5 linked regions of the Canis lupus familiaris genome follow. The protein of the gene in region 1 purifies or fractionates together with the protein of each later gene. This does not show direct contact. Links are inferred from orthologs where the notes say so. Each region holds a gene or a part of one and is shown on either strand. Other genes may lie near its edges.

Region 1 (3,958 bases):
TCTAGGAGGCAAGGCTGGCCCCTGGCTCAGAGCTATCAACCATTTGAGTCTGGAAGCATATTTTTCCTTAGAATTTCCAGAAGAGATACAGCCTTCCCAACACCTTGATTTTAGCCTGGTGCAAGCCATGTAGGACTTCTGACCTACAGAAACTGAGAGAAAATAAATTTGTGTGGCTGCAAGTTGTCATTTGTGGTTGTTTGTCATAAGAGAATCAGAAAACGAATACAATTGCACAAGTACTATTCCAAGTGTGACAGTCTCCTGAAGTCCATTTTAGGCTTTATACCCATGATGCTCAGGGAAACCAGGTACAGTGTCAAAGGCCAGAAGCATGAACAAGTAAGCCTTCTCTACTTCAGAGTACAAAGTCCTCCCAAGCCTCTGGCTGCCCGGGTGAAATAGTTAGCTCTTCCTTTGCTTGGTGCTCCAGTGGCCCCCTACATCTTAGGAATAAAATCCAAACTCTTACTGTGGCTCCTGTGAGGCCCTGCCTGTGGCCCTGCCCACTTCATTCTCCATCCTACACACATACACACACACACACACACACACACACACCCGGCCACTCACCCCACTTCTGCTACACTGGTCTTTTATGCTCTGACTCCCTGGAGCTCATCTCTGCCTTAGGACCTTTGCAGCAATTTATGGGGTTTGATGCTTCTTAAGATTCAGCCTTGGGTTCAAGTGATAGAGCGGCTGGGGCTTACCTGACCATTCCCAGAGGAAGCACCCTCCTCCCTGCCCCCTGCCTATTCTCCAACTCAGCATCTTTTCTTTTTTATTAATAGTGATAAAAAAAAAAAAGAGAGAGAGTGGGAAATATCAGAGAGGGTGACAGAACATGAGAGACTCCTAACTCTGGGAAACGAACAAGGGGTAGTGGAAGGGGAGGTGGGTGGGGGGATGGGGTCACTGGGTGACTAGTACTGATGGGGGTGCTTGACGGGATGAGCACTGGCTGTTAGACTATATGTTGGCAAATCGAACTCCAATAAAAAATATATACAAGATAAAATAAGAGTGGTATGTGTGTTGTCTTTTTTTTTTAAGTTGATATATTTATTTTTACTCATCTCTACACCCAACGTGGGACTCGAACTCACACCACCATGATCAAGAGTCCTATGCTCTTCTGACTGACCATCCAGGTGCCCCTCCAACTCAGCACTTTTTATCTCACCTTGTCCCCTTAAGCAGTCAAGTTATGATATATTCACACATTTCTCTACTTGTCTAATCTCTTTAGGACACCAGCCTGTTGAAAAGAGAGTCAGGGGCAGCCTGGGTGGCTCAGCGGTTTAGCGCCACCTTCATCCCAGGGCGTGATCCTGGAGATCCTGGATCGAGTCCCGTGTTGGGCTCCTTGCATGGCGCCTACTTCTCCCTCTGCCTGTGTCTCTGCCTCTTTCTCTCTCTCTATCATAAATAAATAAATAAAATCTCTTAAAAAAAAAAGAAAAAGAAAAAGAAAAGAGAGTCAGGAGACCAGAAGGGGGAGCTTTCAAGCCCTGACACTCCAGGTTAGTGGCAGACCCCAACAAAAGAGAGGTACCACGCATTCCCCAGAGGAAGAAGCCTATACTTTACCACCCCCACAGGAAGATGAGAGATGTTCTCCTTGTCTGGCAATTGCGGAGCCAAGGAGACACTGTCACAGCTCAGGTAATGAGAAGCCGCAACACTCGGAGCTCAGTTTACTTCAATGGATTTTTTTGTTCATAACGAGCCCTCTCAACTCCCCCTTTCACCTGTGAAAGACAGCAGTCCTCTCCTCTGCTCTCTGGACTTGCCTACAGTTTTGCCATAGGTTACATGTCTCAGATTGCAATTATCCGTTAATCCCCAGCAAACCCATTTTGCTGGTAAAATAACTGACAGGTTTTTTTTTTTGAAGGTTAACAACCAGGGCAGGCAAGACCCTGTCAGGTTCACTGCTCTTAACGATTCTCTCACTCCCAAATTGTCTATAATGTACGTCCACGTCCCTCCCTAAAAGTTTCTGCTAAAGGACCTGCCACCCTCTCTCGTCATCCACTGGCTGGGCCCTGCCTAGCAGGGTTATTTCTAACTCTCAGATGGCCAAACTCATTCCCACCACTATCCATCACACCACCCCCGACTTCTTATTAACCGCTTGACTGTCTCCCTTGGGAGCTTGAAGTTTCTAAAAGAGTTCGGAGTTTTGTCTGTTTTATCACTGCTTTGAGCCCAGCACGAATACACTGCCTGGCCCAAAGAGAAACTCAACGAGGAGTGAATGAAATGAAATGAAATCCCTACTTCAGGGGTATTGTGGGTATGTATGGTGGCACACGTGGGCCCTCCACAAGTGAAAATCACTATTATTATCACTATAGTGGCGTAAAACGCATCCGTTACTCAAATGCCTTCCACGGCGCAGAACGAGCTCTTAGAGTGAGAAATAACAAAAACTGTCACGGCTCTGAGTTTGGTCATAAGACAAGGGTAACTCCTTACAACGCTCTGAAGAGATACGTTGGGGAAAAAACACCTCGAGGAGAAGGAAGATTTTAAAAATCAAAGCACGACCAGTGGCCACCAGGAAGAAACGCCTTTCGGAACCACCACTGTCCCCTCGCCCCCGAGCGGCCGCACCTTCACTCGCTGCGCCTCGTTAATGCACTGCTGATAGCTGCCAATGTAGAAGGCGTTCTTCACGTCGAACAGCTCGTCCACTTCCCCGGAGCCGCCGGAGGCCGGCCCGGGAGCCGGAGGCGCCATATCACTACGGTCCCAGTCGCTCCTCTTCCGGAGGGACACGTCGGCCGGAAGTTGGGAGTCCGTCGCCGCAAGGCACGCTGGGAATTGTAGTTTACTCGTTCCTGCCTAAAGATGAGCCAAATTGGACGGGAGTCGCAAGTGCGACTCGCTGGGCATCTCGGGAATTGTAGTTTAATTTGATCGCGCGAGCCAATGGAAATCGGGGAAACATGGTCAGCATACGGTGGAACCCGGGAATGGCAGTGTGAGCTAGACCGGGGTGGGACCGCGCAGCAGGCGATCCAGTAACCGAGGTTTCCGTGATGTCATCGGCGTGCGCCGGAAAGCAGGGCTCACACGGTGCACGCCCGGAGCTGGCGGGGAGGATGGCCGGCTTCGCGGAGCTTGGGCTGTCATCGTGGCTTGTGGAACAATGTCGGCAGCTGGGTTTGAAGCAGCCCACGCCTGTACAGCTCGGCTGCATCCCCGCCATCCTGGAGGGTAAGTGTGGCCCGGCCTCTTCCCCAGGAAGCCTCCCCACTCTGTCGGCTCCCTTGCCTTCGCGCCTTAGCCTTTGCCTAACCCACTTCTGCGAGGCGAGGGGTACGCTTGGGCGTTATGGACGAGCCTGGGTCCCAAAGGTAGACTGGGCAGTGTTGGCGTTTGGGATTCACAGCTGACTCCCTGTGTGTCCGCACATAAGTGATGTAATCCGAGAAACTCGTGGTCTCAGAGCACAGCACTACTATCTGAATTTTACAAATGGAAACTGAAGTTGTCAGGATTACTGGTAAATGCAGGACTCTGGTCCCGAGAGTAGAGGACTCTACTCTCTACTCTAATGGCCCAACCCGGTTTGCCATTAAAAAGATGCTCTTGGGATCCCTGGGTGGCTCAGCGGTTTAGCGCCTGCCTTTGGCCCAGGGCGCGGTCCTGGAGTCCCGGGATCGAGTTCCACGTCGGGCTCCCGGTGCATGGGGCCTGCTTCTCCCACCTCCTATGTCTCTGCCTCTCTCTCTCCCTCTCTCTGTCTATCATAAATAAATAAATAAATAAATCTTAAAAAAAAAAAAAAGATGCTCTTGGGGGCGCCTGGGTGGCTTAGTCCGCAGAGCTTGTGACTCTTGATTTCCGCTCAGATCATGATCTCAGGGTTGAGCTCAAGCCCCGCATTGGGCTGCGCGCTGGGTGTAGAGCCTGTTTGGAATTCTCTCTCTCCCTCTCTCTTTGC
Region 2 (3,500 bases), about 1.5 Mb from region 1:
TGGAGCCTGCTTAAGATTCTCATTCTTTCTCTAAAGAAAAAAAAAATTTTTTTTAGCCTAAGAACTTGTGCTAACGAGGTCTTTACTGGTTTTCTCTTTTTCTCTCACTGTTTTCCTGTGTTACTAAGCTAATAAGCACGTAGGATTAAAGTGTTTCCGTTAGGTACTCTTCAGTGCTATGGGATCTGAGTCTATGAGTTGGCTGTATTACGCTTTGAGATGCAGCTTTAGGCAGGTTGGGCTGTCTTGTCTGAGCTCCGCCCATTGTCAGGGTCCCATTCTCACTCTCCCCTCTCACAGTGGCCCTTTGTTCTCCCACACAGACCTTACCCCCTTCTCATCTCCACAGCATCATGTCCCTTTCTTACAGCACTGTGTCCTTTGGCCTCATAAGCATCTGGGGATCTCTTTTTCTGAGGTGGCGTATCTCTGTGGTGTATCCAGCATCCCTAGTGAACATCTCTCTTTGTGGGTCATGATTTGCATATTCGTTTATCTTTCTCACTGGATAAGCAACACTTTGAGGGCAGACACTGTGCCTTTCTCAATGTTTTATCTCCTGTGTCTGGGATATAGTAAGCCCTCAGCAAAAATTTGCTGAGCTAAGGACCCTTAACACCACCCCTACGCGCATTCTGGAGCAGAGGGTCAATAGGTACCTGTTCATGTCTGAAATCCCTGTAATCCCCTCCGTGTTCAGCGCCATAGGCAGTCATGACATAGGCAGGGAGCCATCCTGTTGTACTCTAGGGCAGGAGTTAGCAAACATTTTCTCTAAAGAGCAAGATAATAAATAGTTTTGACTTCCAAACTACATACCATCTCCATTTGCACATTATTTGTTTTGACAACTTTTGGAAATGTAAAAACTCTTCTTAGCTCACAGTACGAAAACAGGCTGAGGGCTCTAGAGCACGGGCAGTGCTTTGTGGCATAATTTGGGCCCTGTGTCCAGTCTGGGGACAGGAAGGAAGGTGGACAGGGCCAGCGAGCACGTGCCTCTCGTGATTCCTAGGGGATCATGCTCTTCAATCCCTAGACTCTCTGACTTCTTTAAAACACTGCCTAGTGGATGCCATTTTCTGGGAGCCTGTCGAATTAGTTTTGTTACTTTGATCTCTTCTGTGTTTTCTTGACATCCCTGTAGAACGTCTGGGGAGGGAGGAAAGTTGACAGCTCAGCCTGAACAAGTGATGATTCCTTTGGGGAATGTCCTGGGTTGGGCTTGTGAGGAACTGCCTTTCTTCTTTGTCCAAGAAGAATTTTAAAACTCAGAGGTGTGAAAATGAGCGATTATGTAAATTTTTATAAAAAGAGATGGATGCTGAGGATAGCAATGTTTCATGTTAGTGCTATAAAATGATGAGCATTGTGATGTTTAGATGTGATAGCATCTGATTTCTAGCCTGTTCTTTGGGTTTTTAGAGAATGGGGAATAAGCGCAGCATGATCTCCGACAGCTTGCTAGGAAAGAGCCTGCCTGGCATGCTTTCTCACCGTCTCCTGGCCTCTGCACACATCTCCCAGGTCTGCAGGTGCAGTCAGTCCTGTCACAGGAGGGAAGCTGTGCTAGGTTCAGCTGCTCAAGTAGTAGAACAAAGTAGATCTTTTCCCACTGCTACTAACCCTCGTGAACTCTAGACATTGCAAAAAATGCTTATCGGGAGAGTTGTGTGAAATTGGTCATTAAGATATGTTACTGAGCTTTGTCTTACACACTTTTATACATAGCTTTTCTGAAGCATGTATGTATGTTTTGTACAGTTATTTTTTGTGTAGGCATCTTGATTGTGGTAAATGTATTAATAGTTTCTTGTAATATAAAAGTGCTGAGTCTAAAAGTAAGTAATTATTTGCATGATTGGAATGCAAATAGTTTGGTCAGGTGGTTTTTAAGCTGTGGCCTCTAAATCAGTGGCTTCGACATACCTGGAAACTTGTTAGAAATGCAGATTCTTGAGCCCCACCCCCACTTGCCAAGTCAGAATCTCTGGGGTTGGCCCCAGCAGCCCACACCTTGTCAAGCTCTGGAGAGTTCTGATGCCAGTCAGAGTTCAAGAGCCACTTGTTTAAACCTTAATTGAGAGGTTCTTATATTTTTCCTGCAGATGTGGTAATAAACTTTGATATTGTGAAGATGAAACTTTAATATTTAAACACTGGACTTTAATTTTGCTAAGCAGCTGAAAACTGCCTCTGGGATCAATAAAATGATTTTTATTTATCAACTCTTTTTTTATATATCAATAGGTGACACTTGGACAGAAACACTGGCCTATGTGCTTTTCTGGGGAGTTGCAAGCATCGGAACATTTTTCATTATTCTTTATAACGGCAAAGATTTTGTCGATGCTCCCAGATTGGTCCAGAAAGAAAAGATGGACTGAATTTGTGTCTGTGGAAAGCGGCTTGGCTTAGAAGATTCCATTATGCAGAACTGGAGTCTTTACTGACCCGCTTTCCACGTCACCCCGAGGTCTTTCGAAAGCCTTTCTCCAAAAGCCCACTCTGTGCGCCGTGTGGGGGGATGACCTCTGGTCAGCCTGATGTTCCTGCCTTGACCATCTCTTCATTACTTGGACAGCTCTAGTTATAATTTGAAGCTCTTCTGTAATTAAAAGGTAACCTGAATCCAGCTCCTGGAATGGAAGGAATCTATTCCTTGTCAATTTAATCAACTCTTGCAGAATAAGTAATATATTTAAGAAATCTAGCTTCTTTCCTTATTTAAAATGGTAAAATTATTTTTCTAGCTCAGTTTCCTTATTGTCACTGTAGAGGCAGTTGCTGTTAGCAAGCGAACTTCCCCACACATCTTTGAATTTTTCTTAAAAGTTGAATAATAAGCTAATTTGCCTGTGTGTATGCAGTGTGAGTGTGTCACAGACATCAGGTAGTTTGACAAAGCAGATTGTGACCTCCTGGCAGGGCTGGCGGGGACCGGGGCTGGCGTTTCGGTTGAGCTGCCTTCTGAGTTCAGCTTGAACTTGGGTGTGAAGAAGAAGTTCAGATTTACTTTATCTTTTTTAAAAGGTGTAAATGAAATCAAAGAATGTAAAGTCTGTGTCTTATGCTAAAGGTCCAAAGCCGCCTCTGTTTTAAGGATTTGCCCCAGTGTGGAAGATACCCTCCGTTGGTCGGTTCCTCCCTCCTGGATGTGTTGGTTTCTTTGGGGTTCGTTCATTGAGACTCGTGAGCCTCTGGGAGGCTCTGGTGCTGGACTTGGTGTTGCACTTGGAGGCAGCAGCTGCTTTCCACGCATGGTACTATCAATGCTTTTCACTCTGTAAAGGTTTCTGTTAACGATCAATAAATGTGTCTGAAATTTCGTGCTTCCAGGTAGTTAGAGTTCTCCAAATCAAGGACCAACTTAAATGTTAATTTATGTGCAAAAACAAGCCTGAAAAATATGCTTTAGAAGCTGTGCATAGTTTCTAACTATAAGTTGGACTGTATATTCAAACTGTAATTATGAGGTTTAAATATTAGGAAAGTGTGTA
Region 3 (3,500 bases), on another chromosome or scaffold:
TGCACGCATGCGTGCTCGTTTCCCTCTGCTCGGTGTGTGGGTGGTTTAGGGAAGGCTTGCTTTATGCCTCTGCATTGCTACTGCATTGGGACTGCAGAAACTTCAAGTACACTAGGGCATTCAGCCCTATTTTCAGATAGCCTCGTGCGGTGCCTACTAATTAATCTGGTCGCATTCCATACCTACCTGCACATGGGAGACCAGGGAGAGAGGGTAATTTGGAAAATAACTGTAGCATAATATTTGAAAATAAGAGCATGACCTACCTTTATTAAACCCTCTGTGAGTCTGGCTCAGAGAAACTGTTTCTCTGATGCTGCTTTAGAGTCCTTTGTTGAAAGCCCCCCCCCCCCCCCCCAATTCAGTTCATTCACCACTTGATCGTTCTCGGTGGGGATTGTCTAAATGTAACCATTCGGGATAGGGGACATACGGAGGCACCTCTGTATCCCCTTGCAGCCCCACTGGGACTAGGGGAAGATATCTGGTTTGCCAGGGGTGGCAGGAGCCTTCAGGACTGAAGGTATGTTCATATCTCTTCAGGAACCCTCCCTGTATACTGTCAAAGCCATCCTGATTCTGGACAATGATGGAGATCGACTTTTTGCCAAGGTGAGATTCCCTTTGAAATTCATTTAGGAGCAAGACAAAGACTTATTTTGAAATTTGGATGGATTTGGGACTGCCCCTGTTTCATAGTCCTTGATACTATAATTTTGAGAATTCTTTCTTGTGCCTACTCCAGATAAAACCATTTCTGTATCTTGGTTGCCCTGCTTCCATACTTGCCTCCCACAGATTCTGACCTCCTTTGTTGTACCAGAGCAGGGAAAAGCTTGGGAACCTTGGTTTCTGAACAATACAGTGTTTGGATGTGAGAAGCAGGTTGCCCAGGCCCATTATTCCTGTCCCCTTTCCTTCTGCCTTGTCACCCTGCCTGGGTTTTTCCAGGAATTCTCCTGGCAGTTCCAGGGTTCCAGCCCTAGGTCTGCAGTCACCACCAGGCTTGTTACCTCCTGACGTCCCCAGTGTGATGTTTCTAACTTTGGATCTATTGAAAGAGAGGAGAAAGGACACCCCTCTCCTCTCCCTCCATATTCTCCCCCTCCTGTGGAAATTTTTTCTGTCCCTGGTGTATTCACTCCGGGCGAGCACAGCATAAATCAATCAGCAGGTAGAGATTAGTTTAGAATTCACCAGCTGTTCCTCCCTGTAATTGGATGTAACTATGCAGGACACCTTTTGAAACAGTTATCCAGTTACTAAATGCCAGACCTGTCATAGGTCTTCAGCTGACTGCGACGGATTAGCCCCTAAAGAGCAGAGCGATTTAGCAGCCTGTATCTCTACCCCTTGCCAGCCAGGGAGAGCTTGGGAGTGGGCTCAACAATGTGCTCGGCTGTCTCCTGCTTCTTTCAGTTTGCAGAAAAGAGAGCTGAGATCTGCAAGAGATGGAGTCGGGTTTGCCTTTCTTTAGAGGAGGTTCTTGCAGCCTTTCCCCATTCCCATTCCTCAGCTTCATAGTGTGAGTGAGGGTCTAAAAGGCGTGTTCTGTGCCCTAGTGCCTTTTGTGTTCCCTACTCCCTGCCATGGGATAGCTCCTAGGAAGCACTGGATGAGAGTGGCCTCAGGGTTGCTTTCCGAGAATGCAGACAGGGGTAGAGCTTCATCACAGGCCTCCGTCCTTAGGGTCTTAGGGATGTGAGGTGGGCGTGCTTATGGCAGGGTCTTTACAAGAGCTTTTTTTTTTTTTTTTTCTTTTTTTTATATTCAGTTACTCACTGACCATTCCCTACCTCCGTAGTTCTTCCTTCGTGCCAGTATTTTTCCCTCACCCCATGCCTTAAAGGCGAGAAATCCAAGATCCAGGGCAAAACACAGTCACTAATCATTCTGGGCTCCCAGCTCTAATGACCCAACCCATCTCCTTTCCCTCGACCAGTACTATGACGACACCTACCCCAGTGTCAAGGAGCAAAAGGCCTTTGAGAAGAACATTTTCAACAAGACCCATCGGACTGACAGTAGGTCATTTTCCTTTCGCTGCTCCCTGTGCTGGGGGAACCATAGTGGGCAGGGGGTGGCAGCAGGACTGCAGAGAAAGGATAAAATGACTGCCTCCTTTTTCTCTTTTTTCCTCCTCCCCTCATATAATAAACTCTTCAGAATGTAATGGGGAGGTGAGTGTACCTCACGTGGGAATACCGTGCTGGAAGGTTGGCTGTTAGCTACCTGTCTAGTCCCTGGATTTATGAGCCTCACTTGACAAATTTAACTGCAGCTCTGCTTATTGTACCGCATCCATTAGGGCAGGTAAATGGAAGTCTGTAAAGGTGACCGCTCTGCATTTTCACCTCCGAAGGATCGACTAGTATCCTGTCTCCTATACAAGGAGGGAAATAAGGGTAGTTGTTGGGGAGGTGGTTAGGAGAAGATACATTTTGATTCCCCCAAGTTAGTACTTCCCTTCTTGTGCTACCACTCAGAAGGAAAAAGCAGGCGAACTTTGGTCTTTGGGGGTTATTATGACTTACCTTACTTAAGCCCAAGGAGCTGGGTACCAGGAGTTCGCGGCAACTCCTTCTATCTTACTTCCTTATCTCAGGCCACCCACTATTTGCGCCTTCCCTTTCTCCCCCTCCCCAGGTGAAATCGCCCTCTTGGAAGGCCTGACGGTGGTATACAAGAGCAGTATCGATCTCTATTTCTATGTGATTGGCAGCTCCTATGAAAATGAGGTGAGAATCCCACTCCTCTTCGCTCGCTCTGATCCCACTTCCTAAACCAAAGGCAGGACATAGTCATTGGGTCTGGACCCCAGGAGTGCCACGTCCCTCTGGGCTAAAAAAGTTGTCAGAGATCACTGTTGACCTCACAAATGTGGCCTAGCAAATCAGCCTAGAGTGGTCGTTTCCCCCAATTGCTCGCTCTTCCTTTCCTTTCCTTTCCTTTCCTTTCTCTTTCCTTTCTCTTTCGTTTCTCTTTCGTTTCTTTCTTTTCTCTTTTTTTTCTTTTTTTTCTTTTTCTCTTTCTTTTTCTCTTTTTCGTTCTTTCTTTTTCTTTCTTTCAAGTTTTGTTATTTAAGTAATGTCTACACCCAGTGGGGGGCTAATATGAGGTTTTTAAAAAGATTTTATTTATTGAGAGAGAGAGAAAGCAAGTGCAAATGGTAGGGGTGTGGGGGGCAGAGGCAGAAAGAGAGGGAGAAAGAATCTCCAGTAGACTCTGTGCTGAGCACTGAGCCTAATACCGGGCTTGATCTCATGACCCTGAGATCATGACCTGAGCCAAAATTGAGAATTGGACACTTAACTGACTGAACCATCCAGGCATCCATAAAAGATGGATTTCTGAGGTGTGGTCAAGGTTGGAAGGATGCTTCTTCCTGCTACGTAGGGTGCACACCTAACTGAGTTTGGATGAGTTAGACAATATTTGGGGTCATGTTGAATGAAGCCATACATCCTGAATGGATCAAATTGAGAAGACTGTGGGTACAG
Region 4 (3,500 bases), on another chromosome or scaffold:
CACGTGAATCATACTCTCTTTGACCACTTCTACATATGGCTTTGAAGTTGGAAAAAATAAATTGTATACAGAAACAGTGCAGGGTCTCTTGGAAATTCTGTGTGGCTTAAGCAAGAGTTAAAGCACTTTAAGATATCAAGGGAAAAGATACTTCTGCCCTTTCTTCCTCACAACATGATGCCTATATAAAGAACTATGTTTCTAAGAATTTATAAGCCTTCGTGTGGACTGTTTTATCTCTCTTGGTAATGGAGTCTATAGTTTGACTCAAGATTTTTGAGAAGTTTATACTCAATCATTGAAATAAAATGATAAGCCCAAAGTATATGCACACATTAAATATAGAATTATTTTGAGGAACTTATTACTTTTTCAAAGAAAATATGTATATTGATGTGAATAATAAAGTGTTAAATGATTTATTTTGTCCTCAAAATATTTGAATCATAACCCTTTTCTTGTTCCTTATTTCACTGCATCATTTTAAGTTATTTTTTGGGAGATAAGATTTATGATTTGAAATGAATATATGTGATTTAATATGTATATTTAACCATATCTAAATGTTTCTTCAGGGGATCTGAAACTTGTGGAAAAGCCATCTCCTTTGACTCTTGCTCCTCATGATTTTGCAAATATTAAAGCTAATGTTAAAGTAGCATCAACAGAAAATGGAATAATTTTTGGTAATATAGGTAAGGAATTGTTTTATAGCATATGATGTTTGAATATTTTTATTAAAGAATTTCTGTAATGAGTAGTTGTATGACATTTCTTGAGGACAGGACCTGAATCCATTTATTCATTTACTCATTCATCCCTTATGGGGCACCTGCTGTTATACTACATGTTGTACTTTGTTCATGGATGTACAGAAATGAACCATGGAAAGACTGTCCTCAAGAACCTGCCAAACAAAAGAAGGAGATAGAGTAAATATATAAGTACAACGCAATGTGATAGATGCTAGTTTATATGTTATGTGCTTTGAGAACATAGAAGAAAAATGCTAAGCCCACAGAAGGCTTTATAGAGGAGTAGGATATGTTATCAAAGGATGACTTTTGAACTGAGTCTAAAATTGCAGAGGCAGTGGTTGCCAGGGCACATAGGACTGTGTATCCAGGGGCATTCAGTCAGACAGTAAGCATTTTTTTAAGCAAGGTCTGTGGCACTGTTAGGGGTGCCATGGTGAGAACAAAAGATCTCCCCTCAGGTAATTTGTGGTCAAGTAAGGGAAAACAGATAAGTAGGATAGATACGTATAACACATAATGGTAAGTTCTAGGAAAGAAGCTTGTGCTAGGTAAAGTGGGAGTCTGTGTAGAAATTTGGTCATTTTTCTCAAAGTGGTGGGGGAGTGGGAGGTGGGAAGGTTAGGAAAGGCTTTGTGGAGCAACTAATGCTCACAGGGCATTTTGAACAATTAGGAATGTTCTACATATAGGCAAGGATTCCACTGGAACAAATTAAGAGAGAGAGAGCACATGCAAGCCGGGTAAGGGTGAGGGGAGGCAAAGGGAGAGAGAGAAAATCTTAAGCAGGCTCCATGCTCAGCACAGAGCCCTATGTGGGACTTAGTCTCAAGACCCTAAGATCATAACCTGAGCTGAAATCGAGAGTCAGACGCTTAACCAACTGAACCACTCAGGCACCCCCATGATTAAGCATTTCTGTGACAGCACAGATTGGAAGAGGCAGGAAGAGTAAACTAGTAGACTATTGTAGTAGCACAGGTGAGAGATGATAGAGCTCAAACCAGTGCAGTAGTGGTTGGGTTGTAGAGAAGGGCTGAATATTATTAATATTAAGGAAATAGGATGCCCAGGACATGGACTGAAGAGGAAGTGGCTAGAGTAATGGTCAGATTTTTTTATTGGGTTTATTGAATTGATATTTATGGCAATCACCAAAAAAGGAAATATATGAGAGAAGAACAAATTTGAGAGAGGTACTAAGGTAAATCTTTGAGCAGATCGAGTATTAAAGTATTGAAAGATGTCCAAGGGCAATTTGATGTGGGTGTGGAACTTGAACAGAAAGTCTAAACTAGAGATAAATACTTGTTTAAAAGCCATAGAAATGGAAGAAATCACTCAGGGTATAAAGAGTGAGAAGAGGGGAGATCTTAAAACTGAATCTAAGAGAACAGCAATATTGAAAGCTTGGTTGGCCAAGAAGAATCCTATAAAGGTACCTGAAATGTGGTAGAGAAGAAGTAAGGAAAAATCTTCCAAAGAATTTGGAGCTGCGAAAGGTCAAGAAACATGAAGTCTAAAGGAAGAGTCCTTTGAATTTGGTGATCAGTGATATTAAATATTGCTTGTGGTATATCTTGGGCATTGATGGTGAGTTGAAGACTTGGAGGTAGAGAAATAAAAACAGTGTAGACTGCTCTGAGTATAGAATTTTGGTTTTGATAAGAATGAGAGAGGGCAATAAATGAAGAGAAGTCAGAGGAGGAGGGAGAGGTTTTTTTTTTTTTTTTTTTTAAGGTGAGAGAGTCATAAAAGGGAATGTTTATAGACTAAGGGAAGAGCCAGTAGAGAAAACAAAGCTAAAGACATAGAGTGAGGGAGGTAATGATTGGTGGAGTGATGTCCTGAACCAGAACAGGAATCACAGATGGCAGGAATCTGCAAGAGAAGAGACAGCACTTCCCTGATACACAGGGTAAGGAAATGGTGTGTGAATTCAGAGAGAGAGAAATTTGTTTTTAGATGTGGGACTAAAAATTAAAGGAACTTATTCTTGGTGACCTCTGTTTTCTCTGAAAGTAGATGCAGTGGAGGAATGTAAAGAGAAGAGGCTAGGAGGAAGAAAGGTAGGCTCCAATCAGATGACAACTTTCTGCTGTGGATGAGGCAGTCATAGAAGTAAATAATCTTGTAATCATTAAGTACTGTGGCTCCTCAATATTCATTAAAACATATTTGTTAAGTACCTCCTAGGGAGCACTATGACTTACATATCCCCATGGAGGGCCTCACACTGCAACTGCTATGCATGTACTGACTGAATTTGAATCCTGCCCCTACCACTTAATCAGTTCTGTGGCCTTAAGCAACTTACTTGACTTCTTTTTGTTTTGTTTCCTCATCCATAAGATGGAAAATGATAATACTATAACATAGGATTGAAGGAGTATTAAATAGGTAATATTTTTAAAGTATTTAAAATAAGAGCCCAGGATATAAGCATTATATAAATAGTTGCTAATCTTATAATTATTATCTATAAATATTAAAACTTTTTTTTTAAGATTGTATTTATTTATTCATGAGAGACACAGTGAGAGATGCATAGATATAGGCAGAGGGAGAAGCAGGCTCCCTTCAAGGAGCCTGATAGGGGACTCGATCCTGGATCCCAGGATCACACCCTTGAGACAAAGGCAGATGCTCAACCACTGAGCCACCCAGGTGTCCCATATTAAAACTTTTTTTTTAAGATTTTATTTATTTGTTTGTTCATTCATTCATCCATCCATCCATTCATTC
Region 5 (2,340 bases), about 42 Mb from region 1:
GTAGAAGGCAGACCTTTGGATCCTTAAGGCACTGACTCTAGGCAGGCTTCCAAAGGGACGTGACCTTGCAGCTGACATCCTAAGGTGAGCACTTGGGTCAGGGCATTTCTATTGAAAGGACACCACTTGGCTGTGAGCACCTGAAGGAAAGTCCAGTTACTGTATGTCCCCAGAGCCAAGCACAGTGCTCTGTGTCTAGTGAGCACTTGCCCAATGCGTTGAAGAAAGGGATAAGCAGTGAGTGCAGAGCAGAGGCCCCACAGGTGTGCAGAACAGGAACCCATTCCCCTGGAGGTGTATGCCTAACTTCCACCTCCATCTCCACAGCTGGAAGATCTGGAAATCACTGTTGCTGATCATATCCAAAAGGTCATGAAACTGAACTTTGAAGCAGCCTGGGATGAGGTAGGGGATGAGTTTGAGAAAGAGGAAACATTCACCTTGTCTACTATCAAGACACTTGAAGGTAAAATCCTTGGCTATTGAAATGTGTCCTCCCCTTTCACTCCTCCTGGCCTTGGCCCCCCAGGAACCCAGGGCCATGTTGAGAGTATATACTTCAGATGGCACTTCATGAAAAGGCCCTTAGAGAGGGCCTGGCTGGCTCAATAGAACAGCATGTGACTCTTGATCACAGGGTCATGAGTTTGAGCCCCACATTGAGTGTAGAGATTACTAAATAAAATTTTTAAAAGCGCAACTTAGAGCAGGCTTAGAGGATGGGGGAGTGGTGGTGACACAAAGGTAGAAATGAGATGTGGCTTAATGATGCTGGGATTTCTCCCTATAGAGGCTGTGGGCAATATCGTGAAATTCCTGGGAATGCATCCTTGTGAGAGGTCAGACAAAGTGCCAGATAACAAGAACACCCACACATTGCTTCTGGCTGGTAAGCAACACTTCTAGGTGGGAAGGGCCTACGTAGTTTACAGTCTGCATGCTACTGTGCCCTGGGTTGAGGGCTCCCACTGGGAACATGGGGATTCAAATTTATAGCATTGAAGATTCACAAAGTAAGGGGCACCTGGGTGGCTCAGTCGGTTAAGCGTCTGCGTTCAACTTAGGTCATGATCTTAAGGTCCTGGAATGGAGCCCTGTGTCCGTCTCTCTGCTCAGTGGGGAGCCTGACACTCCCCCTGCTTGTGCTCTCTCTCACTCTGTAGAATAAATAAAATCTTTAAAAACACAAAAAAGAAAATTCATAGAGTAAAAAAAGCCCAGCAGTGAAATATCCGACCCTTGCTGCCTGTCATCTATCTAGTTCCTTTCCGACAGGTGACTGATCAGCATTGTTATTATAAACAGTGATTTTATGGATACGAACACTGACATGCACAATTTCCTATTTTAACTCAGATGTTTACGTGTAAATAGTATATATATTGTCTTTCCTATGCTTGGCTGGCTCAGTCGGTAGAGCATGTGATTCTTGATCTCAGGGTCCTAAGTTTGTGCCTCACGTTGGGGGTGGAGATTACATTAAAAATATATTTAAAAATACATAGAGTTTCCTCTTTTTCTAATTAAAAATATATTTAAAAATACATAGAGTTTCCTCTTTTTCTAATTGTAGTAAAATGTACATAATGTAAAATTTACCATTTTAAGCTCAGGTATACAGCCCAGTGGCATGAAGTATATCTGCATTATTGTGTAGATATTAGCACTGTTCTTCTCCAAGACTTTTTTATCATCCCAGAGTAAATCTTCATACTTTTTTGTAGCTTCCTTATATTCCATTGTATGGGTGTACCATAATTTATAGAATCAGCCTGTATTGATAAATATATAGATTGTTCCAGGCTTTTTGCTATTACAAACAATGCTACAGTGACTAATCATGCACACACACATACTTTATTTTGCATGTATTCCCTGAGGATATCTATAGGATAAACTTCCCAAGGCATTACCAGGTCAAAGCGCATTTCTCATTTTGATATAAATTTCTAGTTGCCTTCTTTTTTTTTTTTTTCTAGTTGCCTTCTATTGGAACTGTATGCCTTTCCTTCCACACTGTGGACAACATAGTATGTTATCAGTATAATACAGTAATCAGTAATATACAGAGTATATTATCAGGTCATTATCAAATGATCTTTGCCAGTCTGGGTGGAAAATGGTATCTTAGTGTAGTTTTTATTTTATTTTATTTTTTAAATTTTATTTATTTATTCATGAGAGACACACAGAGCAAGGCAGACATATAGGCCGAGAGAGAAGCAGGCTCCATGCAGGGCGCCCGATGTGGGACTTGATCACAGGTCTCCAGGATCACACCCTGAGCCAAAGGCAGATGCTCAATGGCTGAGCCACCCAGGTGTCCCTGTAGTTTTTATT

The links. Proteins that work in one complex are often made in the same cells at the same time.
Region 2: the proteins of COPE (region 1) and SACM1L purify together in Homo sapiens (affinity purification with mass spectrometry; 4 studies listed by BioGRID and IntAct, with this or other methods). This does not show direct contact. The link is inferred for Canis lupus familiaris from reciprocal best matches to the Homo sapiens genes COPE and SACM1L.
Region 3: the proteins of COPE (region 1) and COPZ1 purify together in Homo sapiens (affinity purification with mass spectrometry; 3 studies listed by BioGRID and IntAct, with this or other methods). This does not show direct contact. The link is inferred for Canis lupus familiaris from reciprocal best matches to the Homo sapiens genes COPE and COPZ1.
Region 4: the proteins of COPE (region 1) and COPB1 purify together in Homo sapiens (affinity purification with mass spectrometry; 6 studies listed by BioGRID and IntAct, with this or other methods). This does not show direct contact. The link is inferred for Canis lupus familiaris from reciprocal best matches to the Homo sapiens genes COPE and COPB1.
Region 5: the proteins of COPE (region 1) and COPG1 fractionate together in Homo sapiens (co-fractionation; 6 studies listed by BioGRID and IntAct, counting the BioPlex papers as one, with this or other methods). This does not show direct contact. The link is inferred for Canis lupus familiaris from reciprocal best matches to the Homo sapiens genes COPE and COPG1.

Annotation. Positions count from the first base shown.
Region 1 is NC_049241.1:44,603,919-44,607,876, reverse strand, and holds the start of COPE (coatomer subunit epsilon), read right to left. Parts: upstream 2,801-3,958; 5' UTR 2,749-2,800; coding exon 2,623-2,748; intron 1-2,622. Other genes in the region: probable ATP-dependent RNA helicase DDX49, read left to right, coding at 3,051-3,228. UniProt on the Homo sapiens protein: The coatomer is a cytosolic protein complex that binds to dilysine motifs and reversibly associates with Golgi non-clathrin-coated vesicles, which further mediate biosynthetic protein transport from the ER, via the Golgi up to the trans Golgi network.
Region 2 is NC_049241.1:43,140,144-43,143,643, reverse strand, and holds part of SACM1L (phosphatidylinositol-3-phosphatase SAC1), read left to right. Parts: intron 1-2,250; coding exon 2,251-2,387; 3' UTR 2,388-3,500.
Region 3 is NC_049248.1:45,686,211-45,689,710, forward strand, and holds part of COPZ1 (coatomer subunit zeta-1), read left to right. Parts: intron 1-543; coding exon 544-612; intron 613-1,942; coding exon 1,943-2,024; intron 2,025-2,646; coding exon 2,647-2,738; intron 2,739-3,500. UniProt on the Homo sapiens protein: The coatomer is a cytosolic protein complex that binds to dilysine motifs and reversibly associates with Golgi non-clathrin-coated vesicles, which further mediate biosynthetic protein transport from the ER, via the Golgi up to the trans Golgi network.
Region 4 is NC_049242.1:37,795,720-37,799,219, reverse strand, and holds part of COPB1 (coatomer subunit beta), read left to right. Parts: intron 1-575; coding exon 576-695; intron 696-3,500. UniProt on the Homo sapiens protein: The coatomer is a cytosolic protein complex that binds to dilysine motifs and reversibly associates with Golgi non-clathrin-coated vesicles, which further mediate biosynthetic protein transport from the ER, via the Golgi up to the trans Golgi network.
Region 5 is NC_049241.1:2,861,924-2,864,263, reverse strand, and holds part of COPG1 (coatomer subunit gamma-1), read left to right. Parts: intron 1-327; coding exon 328-466; intron 467-790; coding exon 791-889; intron 890-2,340. UniProt on the Homo sapiens protein: The coatomer is a cytosolic protein complex that binds to dilysine motifs and reversibly associates with Golgi non-clathrin-coated vesicles, which further mediate biosynthetic protein transport from the ER, via the Golgi up to the trans Golgi network.